4 linked regions of the Sus scrofa genome follow. The protein of the gene in region 3 purifies or fractionates together with the protein of the main gene of each other region. This does not show direct contact. Links are inferred from orthologs where the notes say so. Each region holds a gene or a part of one and is shown on either strand. Other genes may lie near its edges.

Region 1 (3,050 bases), on a different chromosome or scaffold from region 3:
GCCAGTGGGTTCTCAGCCTTGAGGTCATGGGCAAGAACAGAAATTTCTGGGCTAAATAGAATTTATAATCTTGGAGTTCCCACTGTACTGCAGGGAGTTCCCATTGTGGCTCAATGGTAATGAACCTGACTAGCATCCATGAGTACACAGATTCAATCCCTGGCCTCACTCATAGGGTTAAAGATCTGGTGTTGCCGTGAGCTGTGGTGTAGGTCACAGATGTGGTTCAGATCCCACATTACTGTGGCTGTGGCGTAGGCCAGCAGCTACAGCTCCGATTCAACGCCTAGCTGAAATTTCATATCCCATAGGTAAAGCCCTACAAAGACAAAAAAAAAAGAATCTGAATGTAGAAGCTTGGGTATCTGTAGAGGGTATCTGGTTTCGATCCCTCACTGGGTACAATGAATTAAGAGATCCAGCATTGCCACAGCAGCAGCGTAGGTTGCAGCTGCAGCTCAGATTCATTCCTGGCCTGGGAACTTCCATATGCCATAAGTGCGGCCATAAGAAAGGGAAAAAATAATTTGTAATCTTGAGGTGGTACATAGATAAAAAATAAATGAGAAAATGATATAGAATGTATGATGGTTGTCAACACTCAGGAGGAAAATTAGTAGAGAAGAGGAAAAGCATGCTGGGCCCACTATTTTCAGTAGAATGGTTAGAATCAGACTCACAGAGAAGACTTCTAGGCAGAGAATTTAAAGATGCACAGGAATAAACCATGTGGATATCAAAGCAAGGGGGATGTCCAGGCAGAGGGAACAGCAAGTGTAAAGTTTTGGAGGTGACCATGTTTTTTCAAAACAGCAAGGAGACCAGTGTGAGTGAGGCAGAAGGAACTAGGGCTAGGAGAAGATTAATTTGTGGAAACAGCAGGGTCCAGATCATGTGGGGCCTTGGACATTGTCATGAGTTTGTGGCTCTTACTTTGAATGTGACAAGAACATGTTAGTAGGAATGATATGATCTGACTTATGTTTTAGCTCTACCCTCCATCTGCTATAGTAAGAACAAGAAATGCAGAGTAGCCTTAAAGAATGCCACCAGGATAATCAAAACAAGAGATGACAATGGCTTGAACCAGGGTAAGAACCATGAAGCTGGCCAAAAAAAATCATCAATGAGTGGGTATACTGTGAAAGCAGAGTTAATAGGACGTGCCAGTGGATTGAATATGTGCCTAAGGAAAAAAATGTCAAAGAAAACTCCAGGATCTTTTTTCTTTTTGACCAGGCATCCAGCACTACAGCAATGGCCCGAGCTGCAGGAGTGACACCATATCCTTAATCTGCTTAGACACAGGGAACTCTGACAGCAGGTTTTTTTTTTTTGAACTGAATAATTCAGACTGGGTTACCATTGACTGAGATGGAGAAGAAGCAGGTTTTAGGCAGAAGGGAATAGCATATGTTTGGAAATGGATATCTGAAATTTGGGAGGCTTCTTAGACATCCAAGTAGAAAGATGAGACGAGCATTTTTTTTAATGGCCACACCTGTGGCATATGGAAGTTCCTGGGCTGGGGGTAGAATCAGAGCTGCAGCTTCAGGCCTACACCACAGCCGTGACAACACTGGATCCAAGTCACACCTGAAACCTAGGTTGAAGTTTGTGACAACACCACTGAGCAAGACCAGGGATTTAACACACATGCTCATGGACACTATGTCTGGTTCTTAACCCACTGAGCCACAATGGGAACTCTGAGATAAGCATTTGGACATGGAATTTGTGAAGATATTAATTGGAGGTAGCATAGCACATATATGATAAAACAAGAAGACTAGATGATATAAACAAAAGAAAGTGTGGAGAAGAAAAATTAACCCACTGATTGAGTCCTGGAGATTCAGCATGTAGAAGTCAAAAAGATGAAGAGAAGCCAGAGGATACTATGCAGAAATAGTTAATGTAGTAGGAGAAAATGCAGAGGAGAGTGTGTTGTCCCTAAAGCCAAGTGAAGGAAATATATAAAGTGGAGAATGGGATCATCAGGGATGACAGACTAGCTCTTACTAGAGAGGTAATGAGTACCCCAGTGGTACCAGTGATGATGGAAGGGAGAGAATGGTCCCAACACATTGTAGATAGGCCAAATTTTATAGAATTTCTAATTTTGATGTTTCTGGAGAATTTTCCATTTACTAGTTCTCAGAACCAAGACCAACAGACCCCAACTATGCAAAGATCTTTGCAATTAGGATGACTTGTCGAATTCTATAAAGTACAATACCTTGCATAGGAATATAACTCTATTTGTCTTGTTTTCACTGGGACTTGTGTTTCTTTCAGGAATGGAATGGAAACACTTTTCACACCCACTAAACCATGATTATTATAAATGTCTGAATGAATTTGACTATGTATTTCATGACTCACATATCCCATGTATTAAAAAAAATTAGGAGTTTCCATGGTGGCACAATGGGTTAAGGAGCTAGCATTGCTATAGTTATGTCATAGGTTGCAGCTTCAGCTCAGATTCAACCCCTGGACTGGAAACTTCCATATGCCGTGGATGCAGCCAAAAAAAAAGAAGAAAAAAACTGCAGCTGTTCCAGGCACAACCTCACCCAAAGTGCAAATGAAGCCATCCTGGATTTGGGAAACTGGCCAAATTTTCCTTACAACTATGAGTCCTGTCATACAAATCTCTGCAGTGCATGCTTACTTAAGGCTTTTCAGGAGGCACCCCTGCTGTTTCAACACTTCACAGAGTAGCATGACCCCCAGATCACCCAGGTCATTGTTGCCTAGGCTCAGCTTTCGCAGGCTCTGGTTAGAAGTCAGAAGTGTGGAAAGATCCCAGCAGCAGTGTGATGTGAGGCTGCAGTTCTCTAATCTGCAAGAAATAAGACGATTTAAAGAAAATGTTTTCTTAATTACGCCTCCAAGTCTTCCAGATCTTAGCCTGTAATGTTTCAAGTGAAGAAAAAGCACAAGATTAACAAGCTTGGAACTGCCTTATGTGCCAAGGGTTATTCTTTTCTCTCTCTTAAATGAGAGTATATTTTCCAGCCTATTGGCTTGTGCAGATCAAATTG
Region 2 (3,807 bases), about 49 Mb from region 3:
CTAAGATGCCAGTGCCAGAGTTCCCATCGGGGCTCAGGGTAACAAACCCGATCAGCATCCATGAGGAAGCGGGTTAGATCCCTGACCTTGCTCAGTAGGTTAAGGATCCGGTGTTGCTGTGAGCTTTGGTGTAGGTCACAGACACAGCTCGGATCCCACATTGCTATGGCTGTGGTATAGGTCGGGAGCTGTAGCTCCAATTCTACCCCTAGCCTGGGAACATTATACGCCGTGGGTGCGACCATAAAAAGACTATATAGATAAATAAAAGAAAATAAGATGCCAGTGCCGAGCATATGGCAGTCACTCAACACATGATAGGATTTATTATGACTATTACTATAATGAACACACAGTAAATGATAGTCATTGATAGAGCTGTGTTCTGAGTGGTTTCAAATTTCTAAATTCTAAAACTCCCTTTGGATATACAGAATACAATGAGACAAGTTGTACATCTTCCCTCAATATCCAAGGTAGGTTGGTTCCAGGACACCCCCACAGATACTAAAATCCAAAGACAGTCAAGTAATATAAGCTATGTACATCTTCCCATACGCTTTTTTTTTTTTTTTTTTTTTTTGTCTTTTTGCCTTTTCTAGGGCTGCTCCCGCGGCATATGGAGGTTCCCAGGCTAGGGGTCTAATTGGAGCTGTAGCCACCGGCCTACACCGGAGCCACAGCAACATGGGATCTGAGCTGCGTCTGCGACCTACACCACAGCTCACAGCAACGCTGGATCCTTAATCCACTGAGCAAGGCCAGGGATTGAACCCGCAACCACCACTGAATCACGACAGGAACTCCTATCTTCCCATATACTTTAAATTATTTCTCAATTATGTATAATAAGTAATGCAATATAAATACTACATAAACATAGGGATACCTTGGGGATATTACAGGTTTGGTTCCAGACCACTACAATAAAGAGAATACCACAATAAATCAAATTACATGAATTTTGTGGTTTCCCAGTGTGAGTAGAAGTTATATTTATATCATACTGTAGTCTATTAAGTCTCGACTTAATAGTCTAGACAGTCTTAATAAGTCTATGTAGTCTATTAAGTTTAGCATTATGTCTAAAAAGACATACATACCTTTATTAAAAGATATTTTATTATTTAAAAAAATGCTAACCATCATCTGAGAAAGTTGTAATCTTTTTGCAATAGTATACATCAAAGATTACTGATCACAGATCAATATATAAATTTAATAATGAAGTCTGAAATATTCAAGAATCACAAAAATGTGACACAGGGACACCAAGTGAGCACATCCTGCTGGAAAAACGGTGCCAAGAGACTTGCTCAATACAAGGTTGCCACAACTTTCAATCTGTAAAAAACACTATCTGCAAAAGCGACATAAAAGCAAAGTGCAAGAAAATGAGGTATGCCTGAATTTGCTGGCTGCAGCAAATTCAAATTTAGCCTTTAGAAACTTTCTGGAGTCCCGTCTGTCCCCACCCCAGAATAGTTTCTATCCACAGTTGGCTGAATCCACGGATGTGGTAGCTGCAGATACAGAGGCTAACTGTACTATTTTATTCTGATAAAATCGTTCTTACCTGTTGGAAGGAATCTTCGAACAATGTCTGCCGGGACACATTGATCTTTACATGACTGGGTAGTGCATTAGACTACAAAGAAAAATAACATTGTAATGTAAGTTACAGTGCATGTACTGTGTAAAGATAAAACTAAATGATTATGAACATAAGATTTATTTACCACCGTAGTACCTGGCACAAATAACGGAAGTGAGCAAGTTTCCACCTAAAGCTGCGTTCATAAGCAATCTGTGGGCCACCTTTAGTTCTAAAGAAAAACAAAAACAAACTATATAATAATTCATAATAAAGCTGGATATTTAATATTCAGTATGTGACTGGAGTGTACCAGGGTCCAAAAAATGAGTACAGGAAAGTTACTTGCTGGGAGAGAAGTAAAGATATATTTAGTGGGCCAACAGAGATTCAAGTAATGAGGACACACAACATATAAAAATGAAGAGGGAGGGCATGTGTATGGATAGATCTTTTGTAAAAAAAAAAGTGAGTTAAATAAAATACTAAAGTCAACTACTGACTATTTCAAAGAAAACTTCAAATCCCAGGTGGGCAGAGGCTCTTTCAGGTAGTTTTCTTGTAAAGTGTAGCAATAAAAATGAATTTTCACTGAATGAATTCATAAGGTGAAGAATTATGGTGTTTTGCTTGTCTGTCTTTTTTTTTTTTTTTTTTTTTTTTTTGCTTTTTAGGCCATGCATGCAGCATATGGAGGTTCCCAGGTTAGGGGTTGAATCGTAGCTGCAGCTGCTGGCCTACACCACTGTCACAGCAACTCAGGATCCAAGCCAAGTCTGTGATTTACACCACAGCTCACAGCAACGCCAGATCCTTAACCCACTGAGTAAGGCCAGGGATCGAACCTCCATCCTCATGGATCCTAGTTGGGTTCGTTAACCACTGAGCATGAAGGGAACTCCCTGTTTGCTTTTAATTTAAGGAAATTAACAGCTGCTGAGAATAATTCAGCAGAGAAAGATGGAGAATATAAAGACGATCACTGTTGGAACAGTGAACTGGAAAAGAGGGGGAAGAGCTAGTGCACCAGCACAGGGAGGACTGGACTTTGATAAGAACGATGATAGTTCATCTTCAGGATGAAGAGGGAAGAGAGATACTGATAGGTGGACAGATGCAACGGTAGGAATTGCAAAAAGTTTTTATGGCTATTTCTACATACTTACTGATACAAGGACATTACACTAAGAGTAATAAGGGAGTTAAGGAGAGATCTTTCAAATGCTTAATTGAGCTATTTTTACCTGGAAAATTAAATTTTCTTGAACATCTCATTCTGTGATGTTGCAACAGCATGATGCACCTGTTAAGAGCACAGACTCTTCGGACAGACTGCTTTGGTCTGAAACCACTTCCATTACTTGCCTATAATTTTGCATAAGTTAGCTGTGCTCCCTAAGCCTCAGTTTCTGAACTTGGAAAATAACAGTATCTACCTCAAGGAATTGTTGGAAGATAAAATGAGCTAATTTACACTAAATGTTTAGAAGAATCCTTGGCACACAGTAATCACTAGGTAAATATTTACTATCGTTCTTACTAAGGAATTATGTGCCGCAAAATCATTCTATAAGAAGGTAGAGCAAAGACAGGCATAGTAGAGTATTACTTGTGTAAATTTTCTTGATACACAAAATAAAATTTATTGCTAAACTTGAGGCTAAATTAGAAGTGAAACCTATGTCCTCATTACACAGCACATAAGAGCTTCACTTACACAGATGACTTGCCATTGCGAGGATCTTTGAATGTTGTTGTTCTTGTATTATGGTCAACAAAGTACCTAACCCCTTCCCGGGTATACCTAATTTCCCAGCCTTCTGGCAGGGGTTCTTCATTCTGTAAGCTAAAAGATAATGCAATAATCATAAGGTGAACATTTTACAGGTGCTAAAAACATCTGAATCAAGGTTTTTAATGCAATTCTATCTTCAGACATGTGTAAGATAACCTAAGAAAGGCTGTAGTACATACGTACCCTTGGGTTCTGGGATCCTCCCACTGGGTTGTTTTTGTGTTATGATTCACAAAGTAAACTCTGTCTGTTGAATCCACTCTTTTTTCTAAAAAACAGAGTGAGCATAGCATTTAATAACTTTTTGCTATATATACATCTCAGATACTTTTACCAAAACCATATTTGCTTGGAGTTCCCATTGTGGCGCAGTGGTTAACGAATCCGACTTGGAACCATGAAGTTGTGGGTTCGATCC
Region 3 (4,235 bases):
GACTGCGCACCCTTTAAGGCCCAAGAGATTGCCTGATGATCACCTCCTACACCGGAGAGTCAGAGGCTGGGGTGGATCTGTACCCCACTGCAGAGACTGTTGAGTCTCCTAAAAAGTCAGTCCAGGAAGAGAGGTGAAAAGAAAGAAGTAGGTATAGCTGCTTCTTTCCTTCCACATGTTCACTGCACGTTGTTGTTGAGGATGCAGGGATCCACCTGGGAGGAAGAAAGAAAAGGATATTTTAGTTTGGGTAAGAACTAAGAGAACAACCCAGTTTAGTAATCCCTCCAAGTCAACTTTCCACTGAAGGCTTAGGACAAATGTAGTGGCAAAATGACAATTCTTACCTCACTGTAAGTAGGTGGTGGCATGAACTTAAACTCAGGAGCATACATAAAGATAGGGCTGTCTTGAGAGCCATCTGTGTCATCTAGCAGAGGAGTGGTGGGGCTCTCCAATCGGTGATCTTCAGGAATGATATCCATATAGCATGGAGGAGCTACAGAGACAAAGTATGGGGATAAGAAGCCTGGCCAAGAAATGCCTGACCATCACAATTTTACAAACCCAAGCAGACCAGAAGGGAAGAAAAGACATTAGGTCTGGCTCACCTTCGGGGGTATCAGGGATGTTTAGATCTACCCAACTCATCTCGGAGCTGGTTCGGCTGGCCATGCTGGACGTCCGGCTGCTGAGGCCTGACCTGCTGCCAATTACCAGGGGCAGGTCAAGAATGACCTTCTTGGAGCCAGGGACACTAACGTAGATCTAGAAAGGAACACGGGAGTTTGTTAGGCTAGAGATCTGGAGAAAACATCACTATTGTTTTGACAGATGAACAATTTCTCTCTCCAACCCTACAAACTCACCAGTAAGAAGTATTCAACTCGAAGGATGTTGCAGCCCAAGATAGAAGGCCTGATCTTCTGCACCCGAAGGCTCTTGCCACGCCATGATGCACAGGTTCCTGAGATAATGTGATTGCCTCTGACCGATGACAACTTCTGCGTCAGTACTTTGGTTTGGCCATTGGCAAGGTAAGTGTGGCGGGCTACAATGGCAGCTTTGGGCACCACAATGCGGGAACATGTATTCTCAAAATCAGCATGGATGTTAATCTCATCACCTAGCAATGGGAAAGATGAAAACTGATGCTCAGTACAATCAACGACTTTTCTTTTGTCCCTTTCTACAGCCCTCATCCCAAACCCATAGTTTCTGTTTTAGCAGTCTCCCATTTTAAGCACAGATTTTTACCTTCACAGAACCCTTTTCTGTCGATTCGAGCAGAGACAGACACCCGGCCATCAGGAATGAACATGCAGGAAACTTTCTTCTCCTTTTTAGCAGACACAGGTGCCTATGTAGAATGGAGGTGTTTTGAGAATTTCTAGAGATCCTTTCCCTGCTTTCCGTTCCTTTCCAGTACTTATTTATAGTAGGTAGCCTTCCCTCCCACCTTGATGATTTAGGACTTGATTCCCCGAGGGGCTTCACTTTTAATGCCCTAGACATTTGACTTAGCACCCCTGAGCCCAAAAAGAACAGAATCTTAGAATGACTTTACCATTAAATCAGGGGTATTGACATCCACTAGATCCATCACTTCGAAGTGTTTTTTTGTCTCTTGAGTTGGCTGGCTTGGGCGATCAAGAAAAGCCTTCACCCAGTAGTCTACACACCCATATTTTCCTTTGAAAGATGTTCCCAGAGGCCTTTATAAAGAAAAAGGAAACAACTAACTTAAAAAAATGCTCTCCAAGAACAGTGAGTGATCAAAGGAGGGGAAGATTTTTAGAGACAGATAAGTCCACAGATGCATTTAGCTGATACCTACCCCTGAGGAAGCTCAAAGCCAAACTTGTATTCATATTTGTTTCCAGGTCTCATGATCACCATCTCATTCTCCCCTGAAAAGAGAGATAAGCAAGTAACCATTAGGTTTCCTGTTACACTTAAAATGCATCTGTGCCGATAAGGAATTCTTAGGCATCACGCAAGAGTATTGCAGAACTCGTATTCTCATCCCTTTTGTTCCTAAATGACAGATTCTGATGTATTTTGTTGGGCAAAAAGTTGCAAAGCCCTGTAGTGTTGACAGGCTCAACCAGGACAGTTAAGCTACAATCATCTCAAACAAGAAGCAAGCAAAGAATAAGCAACTTATGCACAGAAATGTTTCAATAGGTAAGGCAACATCCTTCAACATCTCCAGAACACAGCACCACAAGAAATTGTACAAATCACCCTTTTGGGTGGGCAGGGATTGTAAATTAAAAAGAAACAAAAAGATAAGGAATTGACACAAAATTCAAACCACACCACCTGAGCAACTTAGAATATTTAGTGTAGGCTCTATTTATTCGTATCAACTCTCTTCTCAAATCAGCTTTCGCCCTCCAGTCAACAGCTGGGTCACTTACCTGTTGGGTGGTCGTCCAGGAGAAGAGTGTCTTCATAGCGCAGGTAGTCCAAGGTCTGTTTGCACTGCTGGGATCCCTGCATCCACAGGACTTTGGCCACTCCACAAGCCAGGATCCTGACAGCTTTGATTCGAGTGACTTCACACACCTCCACTATCACCCGGCCAGCCACCTTCTCCCCACAGCCGTACACCTTTTCGGGGTCGTTAAAGACCACCTCAAAAGACTTGATCTTCTTGAACATCACCATGTTTGGGCTCGGTTGACTTGAGAGTTAGAAACGGGGCAGGGGGCAGGAGTGAAAAACAAAACCCCGAATCAAAGGGCCCTTTGCAATGAATTAAAATTATTTCACTTTTCAACTCTCTATTAAATGTTCGACAAGATGTTCCCTTGCTGGTTGTGCCAAGGTATTTCAAAAGAAAAATAAGCTCTTTCCTGTCTTTCCTCCAACAGCTGGAGGAGAGCTCCGGATCTCGGCGGGAAAGCTAACAGCGATCTGCCAGAGGAGTGGAAAGGATAGCTTGTGCTGAGAGCTATAAACTGCTCTATATAGTAGCCGGGCAGGCAGAGCCACGCGAGCGCTGGCCCGGAGGCTCGTGCAGCCCTCGTGCACAGCCCGCCCATTGGCTGCCCGCTCCATGTTTACCAGGAGCCCGACCAATCAGCGAAGTCGCAGCGGCGCGTGGACACAGTGTGCTCCTGGCGGGGAAAATGGTTGTTGTGCACTGCTGCGGCCCTGGGAGGAGGGGGCGCAGGGGCCGTGGGCGGCTTCCCGGGAGCCCAAAGGAACGAAGCATTCGCAGACCCTAAAATTTATCCGAGGCCAGTGGCCTTGGGAGGGCGAATGAGGATGCTTCTGGGCTGGAGCGACATTTCGAGGTAAAAGGAAAATGTGCTTATGAGGGAATTTCGTGCCTAGCCATTGCCAGTGCAGTTAATTTAGAGGCGACCGTTTATTCCCGGCTCACAAATCGCAAGTCGTGTGAAAAACAATCCCCGAGCGCCAAGAATACTTTAGGATTGGGGCGGAGGGCAAGGAGTGCTGCTGTTATTATTCAGGACGAGCCCCTTTGTCTTCTTGCCCCGCATCTCTATTAAAAACACCCCCCCCCCAAAAAAAATAAGCTGATGTGAGAAGGAAATGAGAATTTGTCACAAATTTTTACCCTCTTCTCCGCGCACACAGGGAAGCGCGCGTGTGGGACCTACCAGCCTTTTTCCTCCCTTTCCAGCCCCCAGGGCTCAGGGCTTGGTGCTGGGCTGTTCCTCAGCCCCTGCGCCCCCAACTCAGTTCTCTCTGTTCTCTGGACCGGAAACAGTAAGGGCGCGGCCACATCCTGTTGCTAATGCCCTCATCTCTTCAGTCCCTAACCTGCAAAGTTGAGGGACACTTTGTTTCTGTTCTCCCAGTTACCTCATCACTTCTTTAGTAAATTGTGTTCTCTAGGCTCAGGTTACCTCTCCCTCCCTACTTCTCCAGGAAAGGGGGAAAAAAAAGGATGCTTCATTCTGCGCTTTTTTTCTGAATAACTTTAACTCTTTCTTGCCTTCGTTCCCTCTCCAATTTACTAAATCAAAGGTACATCCCTAAATCTGCTGCCCACCCTCCTCACAGCCTTCAAGTTAATTAAAAGCAGTAAAGTTCTCTGGTCTGTAACCAAAGTGTCCTGTTTGAAGGAAGCATTTCCTATCTTTGAAAAGTTTTTTTTTTTTTCTAAGTTGTTCAGAAATTGCTAAGAAAGCAAAGAGAAGACCGAAGGTTCACTGGCACGCTATATGCTAAAGCTGGAAGAGAACCTGACTCCTCAT
Region 4 (4,460 bases), on a different chromosome or scaffold from region 3:
CTGCTGGCCTACACCACAGTCACAGCCACAGCCACAGCCACAGCAATGCCAGATCCTTAACCCACTGATCGGGGACAGGGATCGAACCCGCAACCTCACAGTTCCTAGTCAGATTTGTTTCCACTGCACTGCGACAGGAACACCTCTAGGAAATATTTTAAAAACTAAACTCAAAAAAAAAAAGGGGGGGGGGAGTTCCTGTCGTGGCACAGTGGTTAACGAATCCGACTAGGAACCATGCCCTTGCTCAGTGGGTTAATGATCCGGTCCCTGCCCTTGCTCAGTGGGTTAATGATCCGGCGTTGCCGTGAGCTGTGGTGTAGGCTGCAGACGCGGCTCGGATCCTGCGTTGCTGTGGCTCTGGTGTAGGCCGGTGGCTACAGCTCCGATTGGACCCCTAGCCTGGGAACCTCCATATGCCGCGAGAGCGGCCCGAGAAATGGCAAAAAGACAAAAAAATAAATAAATAAATAAAAATAAAAACTAAACAAAGGAAATTTCAATTCTATTGTACTTAGGACAATAAACTTTAATGCTACCATTTATAGCATATAAGTACATTACATTTATAAGGTCATTTAGTATAATCTTTTTAAAAATTAATGAGAAATTTTACCTTTATCTTTCTGTACTAAGTCTTCCAAAATCTGGCATGTATTGTATAGTCATAGCCTATCTCCTGTACTCGGCAGCCCCATGTGTCTAGTGACTACGGATCTGAACAATGAAAACCCTAGAACAATGCCTGGCAAAGAGTTCGTGCTTATAAATAGCCACCAAATGAAAAAATAAAGAGGCAGCTATGGTATAGCATAGGATTTTCTAAACTTTAGTTACACTCCATATTCACAATTATTGCTATAACCTATACTATTTTCCCCTTAAAATGTCATCCTTTGCACACTTGAAAAAAACATTTTTTTGAAACTTTACATTGAATCTAAAAATGGAAAAGAATAGGTCCAAGGATAAAAGGCCTGGGCATGAGTCCCTGCTCAGTCATTCACGACTTCTAGATTCTCAAACAAGGACTTCACTAAGCCTCAGTTTCTTCAACTGCAGAATAGGGACAATTTCAACCTTCAGAGGATCATAATGAAGACTGAATAAGCTCTTTTTTTCTTTTTTTGGGGGGGGAGGTGGATGTGGAAGTTTGAGGGCCAGGGATCAAACCCATGTCACAGCAGTGACTCCAGCCATAGCAGTAACAATGCCAGATCCTTAATCTGCTGAGCCACCAGGGAACTCCCATAAGCTTTTTTTACTATGGGAAAGTAGTCACTAAATAAGAGATTGAGAAGCCAACCCAAGCCAACCCAACCCCACACCTATCATTTTCTTATAGACCAAACAACAAAATGGCAAGCTCATTTACCAAGAAGAAGAGGCAGGACTCAGATTCAAATCTCTTCTCCACTTACAGGTCTGTGACCTTTAGAAATTCATTTATTCACCAAAAACTTACCAAGTGCCCATAGCACACCTGGCTCCAGGCTAGTTGCCAAATAAGCCAAATAAGATATAAACCCCGCCCTTTGAGGAATTTGCAGTCTATCAGAAAGAAAGAGAACAGCAGACAAGAAAACACAAAAAAATTGTCAACAAAATCCAGTCTTCTGAGATCTGTTTGTTCACTGTGAAATGAGAATAAACATCTTCCTAATCTAACTCCCAGGGCTGTCACAGAAATCAATTTTTAAATGTTTGTCAAACATTCTAAAAACTTGAACTCAAAACACATTAGCAAGGTACTTTTTTTTTTTTTCCTACTTGTAACCCAAAACAACTCCAGCTCCTGGGACTGTCCAGTTTGAACATTCACTTCTATTACATCACATCCATGAAATGCATTCCACTTTTGCAAATGTTAGTAAACACAAGAAAAAGCGGGTGAACAGCCTTAACACAGGTATTTAATCTCAAAATCATGATCCAGGTCACAGTTCTATGGAACACAACACAGACCTTCCAGTCATGCTAGCTAGTTACAGTTTGTCAAGATAAGCAGTCACATGGCAAAGGAAACTGAATAATTTAAACTCAAGAAAGAAAAAGTCATAAAGCAGGGTAGGTAGATACCGGCCAAGGTTACTGCAGTCGCTGTTAGGTGAGGTAATGCTGGGATTGGACCGTGCTCAACAGTTTAAGCTAAAAGCCATTTTACAGCCAGAGCAAAGTGCCCACGCTCTTTTCTTAAGCCCAGAAGTTGATCTGATCTGTGGAAATTTCAAAGAAACATGATCTGAAAGGCTAGGTTCTCAAGAAGTAGAAACCCTACCCAAGCAGGACTAAGTGGGCGTGACGAAAGCAAAATGATCAAGATTCTCTGATCCCTCCTGAAGTTTAGAAACTGAATGGGACCAAAATCAAAGTCTCGGGTACCAATCATTGCCAAAGAGGAAGGAAGGAAGAGGCGCTCAAGCGCGGTTCAGGCAGCATCTTCCTCCTGATTTTTCCTTCCACGTCGTTCGCCAATTCTCAGGCGACCCATTCTAGCTCAGTCCCAAGTTGCCCCTTCCTCCTGTCCCGATCCCGCCACAAAGGTCACTCCTCTTCATCCCTGGCACCTAAGATGCTTGTCCCTTCCAGGAGGACTTGCTGGCCACCGCACTTATGCGTGCCTTGGCGCCCACCTCGGAGTTGCCCCCGCACCGCCCGCAGCGCGCCCACCCCGCTCGGGCGGGAGCCGGGACACCCCTCCTCGGAGGCCGGAACCGCCGCGCCAGGCCCCTCCCACAGGAAGCCACCGCCCCCCGGCGCCCGGGCCGCGCCGCCCCTGGCCCACCCCGCGCTGCCCGCTGCCCGCTGCCCCAGGCCAGCCCCGCGCCCCCGCCAGCCTGCCCGCCGCGCTGCCCCGCGCCGGCGCTCGCTACCTGACGGGACCACAGAAGCGGAGCCCAACTCCTCTCCCACTTCCGCCTTCGACCGCCCGCACTCGGGCCAGGTCACGTGACCACGCGTGGTCACCTGACCCGGAAGAGGCTGGCCGTACCTGCAGGTGTGGGCAACCTAGGCCAGGCCTGGGAACCTTTAGCCAGAAAGCCTTCTTATCCTTTGTATGTTTAAAAATGGGAGGGTTTTCCCCTCGTCAGATGGTACCCGAGCAATCAAGTAAATTGAGGGCTCGGTGAGTGCCAGGAGCTTCATTTACTCCTCCCATCGAGCCCAGGGGCGTCTCTGTCAGCCCCATTTCACAGGTGAAAGGAGGCTTTCAGTCAATTAAGTCAGCGGTTAATTTACTGACTTAAAATATCCTAGGGTCACCAGATAAAATACAGGGCACCCAGTTAAATATGAACTTAAGATAAAAAATATGTAATATGTAGGTGTGCCCCAAATACTGCCTGGTACATGTTTATACTAAAAAACTATTTGTGGTTGATGCTCATATTTAATTGGGCAAATTGGGTTTTAATTTGCTATACCTGACAACCTTAAGCCTACTATGTGCCAGGCAGGGTTCTAGATTCTAGAAACACACAAAAGTAACTTTTGTGGAGCATCTGTTTTGTTTTGTTTTGTCTTTTTGCCATTTCTTGGCCCGCTTCCACGGCATATGGAGGTTCCCAGGCTAGGGGTCTAATCGGAGCTGTAGCCGCCGGCCTACGCCAGAGCCACAGCAACGCGGGATCCGAGCCGCGTCTGCAACCTACACCACAGCTCAGGGCAACGCCAGATCCTCAATGCCAGATCCTCAGCCGACTGAGCAAGGCCAGGGATCGAACCCACAACCTCCTGGTTCCTAGTCGGATTCATTAACCACTGAGCCACGATGGGAACTCCGGAGCATCTGTTCTTGTGACATAAAGCAAAAGTAAAAAGACTCCAGAACCCTTGCTGGGGTTGGTAAAATGCCCACCACACCAATCGAACCCCTATTTCCTTAATATAAAGAGTCAATAGCACTTTATGAATTAGAAAAAAAAATTAATCAATATACTTTACTGATGGTAGGGAATTCAGTTTTGACAAGTTGAAGGAAGGCTCAATTTTTCACTCTTCATCACCACAAACTAAAATGAAGACTAATCACTTAATTAGCTTTAAGCACTGTGCACTGATTATTCTGTTATTTTTGGGTCTTCCCGTTCAGAGTGATCCTATTATGCATACAAATTAAATTGGTTGAGCACTTAGTCTCTGCTTTTCCTATTTCCACTCCAGATCCATCCAGGAGATGGCCTTTCAAGGAGCTACAGCCTTTCTGAATACCGTAATTCCTATATGAATCCCATCTATAAACCTATTCAAACTTCTTTATTTCTCTCACCTCATCTCCAACTACTCTTCCACTCAGTACCCTGCTTCAGCCACTCTGGCCTGAGGGCCTTTGGACTTGCTTTTCCCTCTTTCTGGAAAGCTCTTTCCCCAGGTAGTCAGTTGGCTCACTCATCTCTTTCAGATATTTACTCAACCACCCCTCTCAGTGAAGCCTTTCGTAATCACCCTATTTTTTTTCA

Evidence for each region.
Region 1: the proteins of TXNIP (region 3) and NLRP3 purify together in Homo sapiens (affinity purification with western blotting, with the first as the bait; 4 studies listed by BioGRID). This does not show direct contact. The link is inferred for Sus scrofa from reciprocal best matches to the Homo sapiens genes TXNIP and NLRP3.
Region 2: the proteins of TXNIP (region 3) and WWP1 purify together in Homo sapiens (affinity purification with mass spectrometry; 4 studies listed by BioGRID and IntAct, counting the BioPlex papers as one, with this or other methods). This does not show direct contact. The link is inferred for Sus scrofa from reciprocal best matches to the Homo sapiens genes TXNIP and WWP1.
Region 4: the proteins of TXNIP (region 3) and WWP2 purify together in Homo sapiens (affinity purification with mass spectrometry; 3 studies listed by BioGRID and IntAct, with this or other methods). This does not show direct contact. The link is inferred for Sus scrofa from reciprocal best matches to the Homo sapiens genes TXNIP and WWP2.

What each region holds. Positions count from the first base shown.
Region 1 is NC_010444.4:56,894,444-56,897,493, forward strand, and holds part of NLRP3 (NACHT, LRR and PYD domains-containing protein 3), read right to left. Parts: intron 2,849-3,050; coding exon 2,678-2,848; intron 1-2,677. UniProt on the Homo sapiens protein: Sensor component of the NLRP3 inflammasome, which mediates inflammasome activation in response to defects in membrane integrity, leading to secretion of inflammatory cytokines IL1B and IL18 and pyroptosis.
Region 2 is NC_010446.5:50,415,046-50,418,852, forward strand, and holds part of WWP1 (NEDD4-like E3 ubiquitin-protein ligase WWP1), read right to left. Parts: intron 3,658-3,807; coding exon 3,573-3,657; intron 3,441-3,572; coding exon 3,312-3,440; intron 1,827-3,311; coding exon 1,751-1,826; intron 1,649-1,750; coding exon 1,577-1,648; intron 1-1,576. UniProt on the Homo sapiens protein: E3 ubiquitin-protein ligase which accepts ubiquitin from an E2 ubiquitin-conjugating enzyme in the form of a thioester and then directly transfers the ubiquitin to targeted substrates.
Region 3 is NC_010446.5:99,347,289-99,351,523, reverse strand, and holds the start of TXNIP (thioredoxin-interacting protein), read right to left. Parts: upstream 2,936-4,235; 5' UTR 2,674-2,935; coding exon 2,424-2,673; intron 1,911-2,423; coding exon 1,838-1,910; intron 1,716-1,837; coding exon 1,568-1,715; intron 1,361-1,567; coding exon 1,258-1,360; intron 1,127-1,257; coding exon 870-1,126; intron 769-869; coding exon 612-768; intron 500-611; coding exon 348-499; intron 216-347; coding exon 180-215; 3' UTR 1-179. UniProt on the Homo sapiens protein: May act as an oxidative stress mediator by inhibiting thioredoxin activity or by limiting its bioavailability.
Region 4 is NC_010448.4:17,224,966-17,229,425, forward strand, and holds the start of WWP2 (NEDD4-like E3 ubiquitin-protein ligase WWP2), read right to left. Parts: upstream 3,018-4,460; 5' UTR 2,874-3,017; intron 2,727-2,873; exon of another isoform or gene 2,383-2,726; intron 1-2,382. UniProt on the Homo sapiens protein: E3 ubiquitin-protein ligase which accepts ubiquitin from an E2 ubiquitin-conjugating enzyme in the form of a thioester and then directly transfers the ubiquitin to targeted substrates.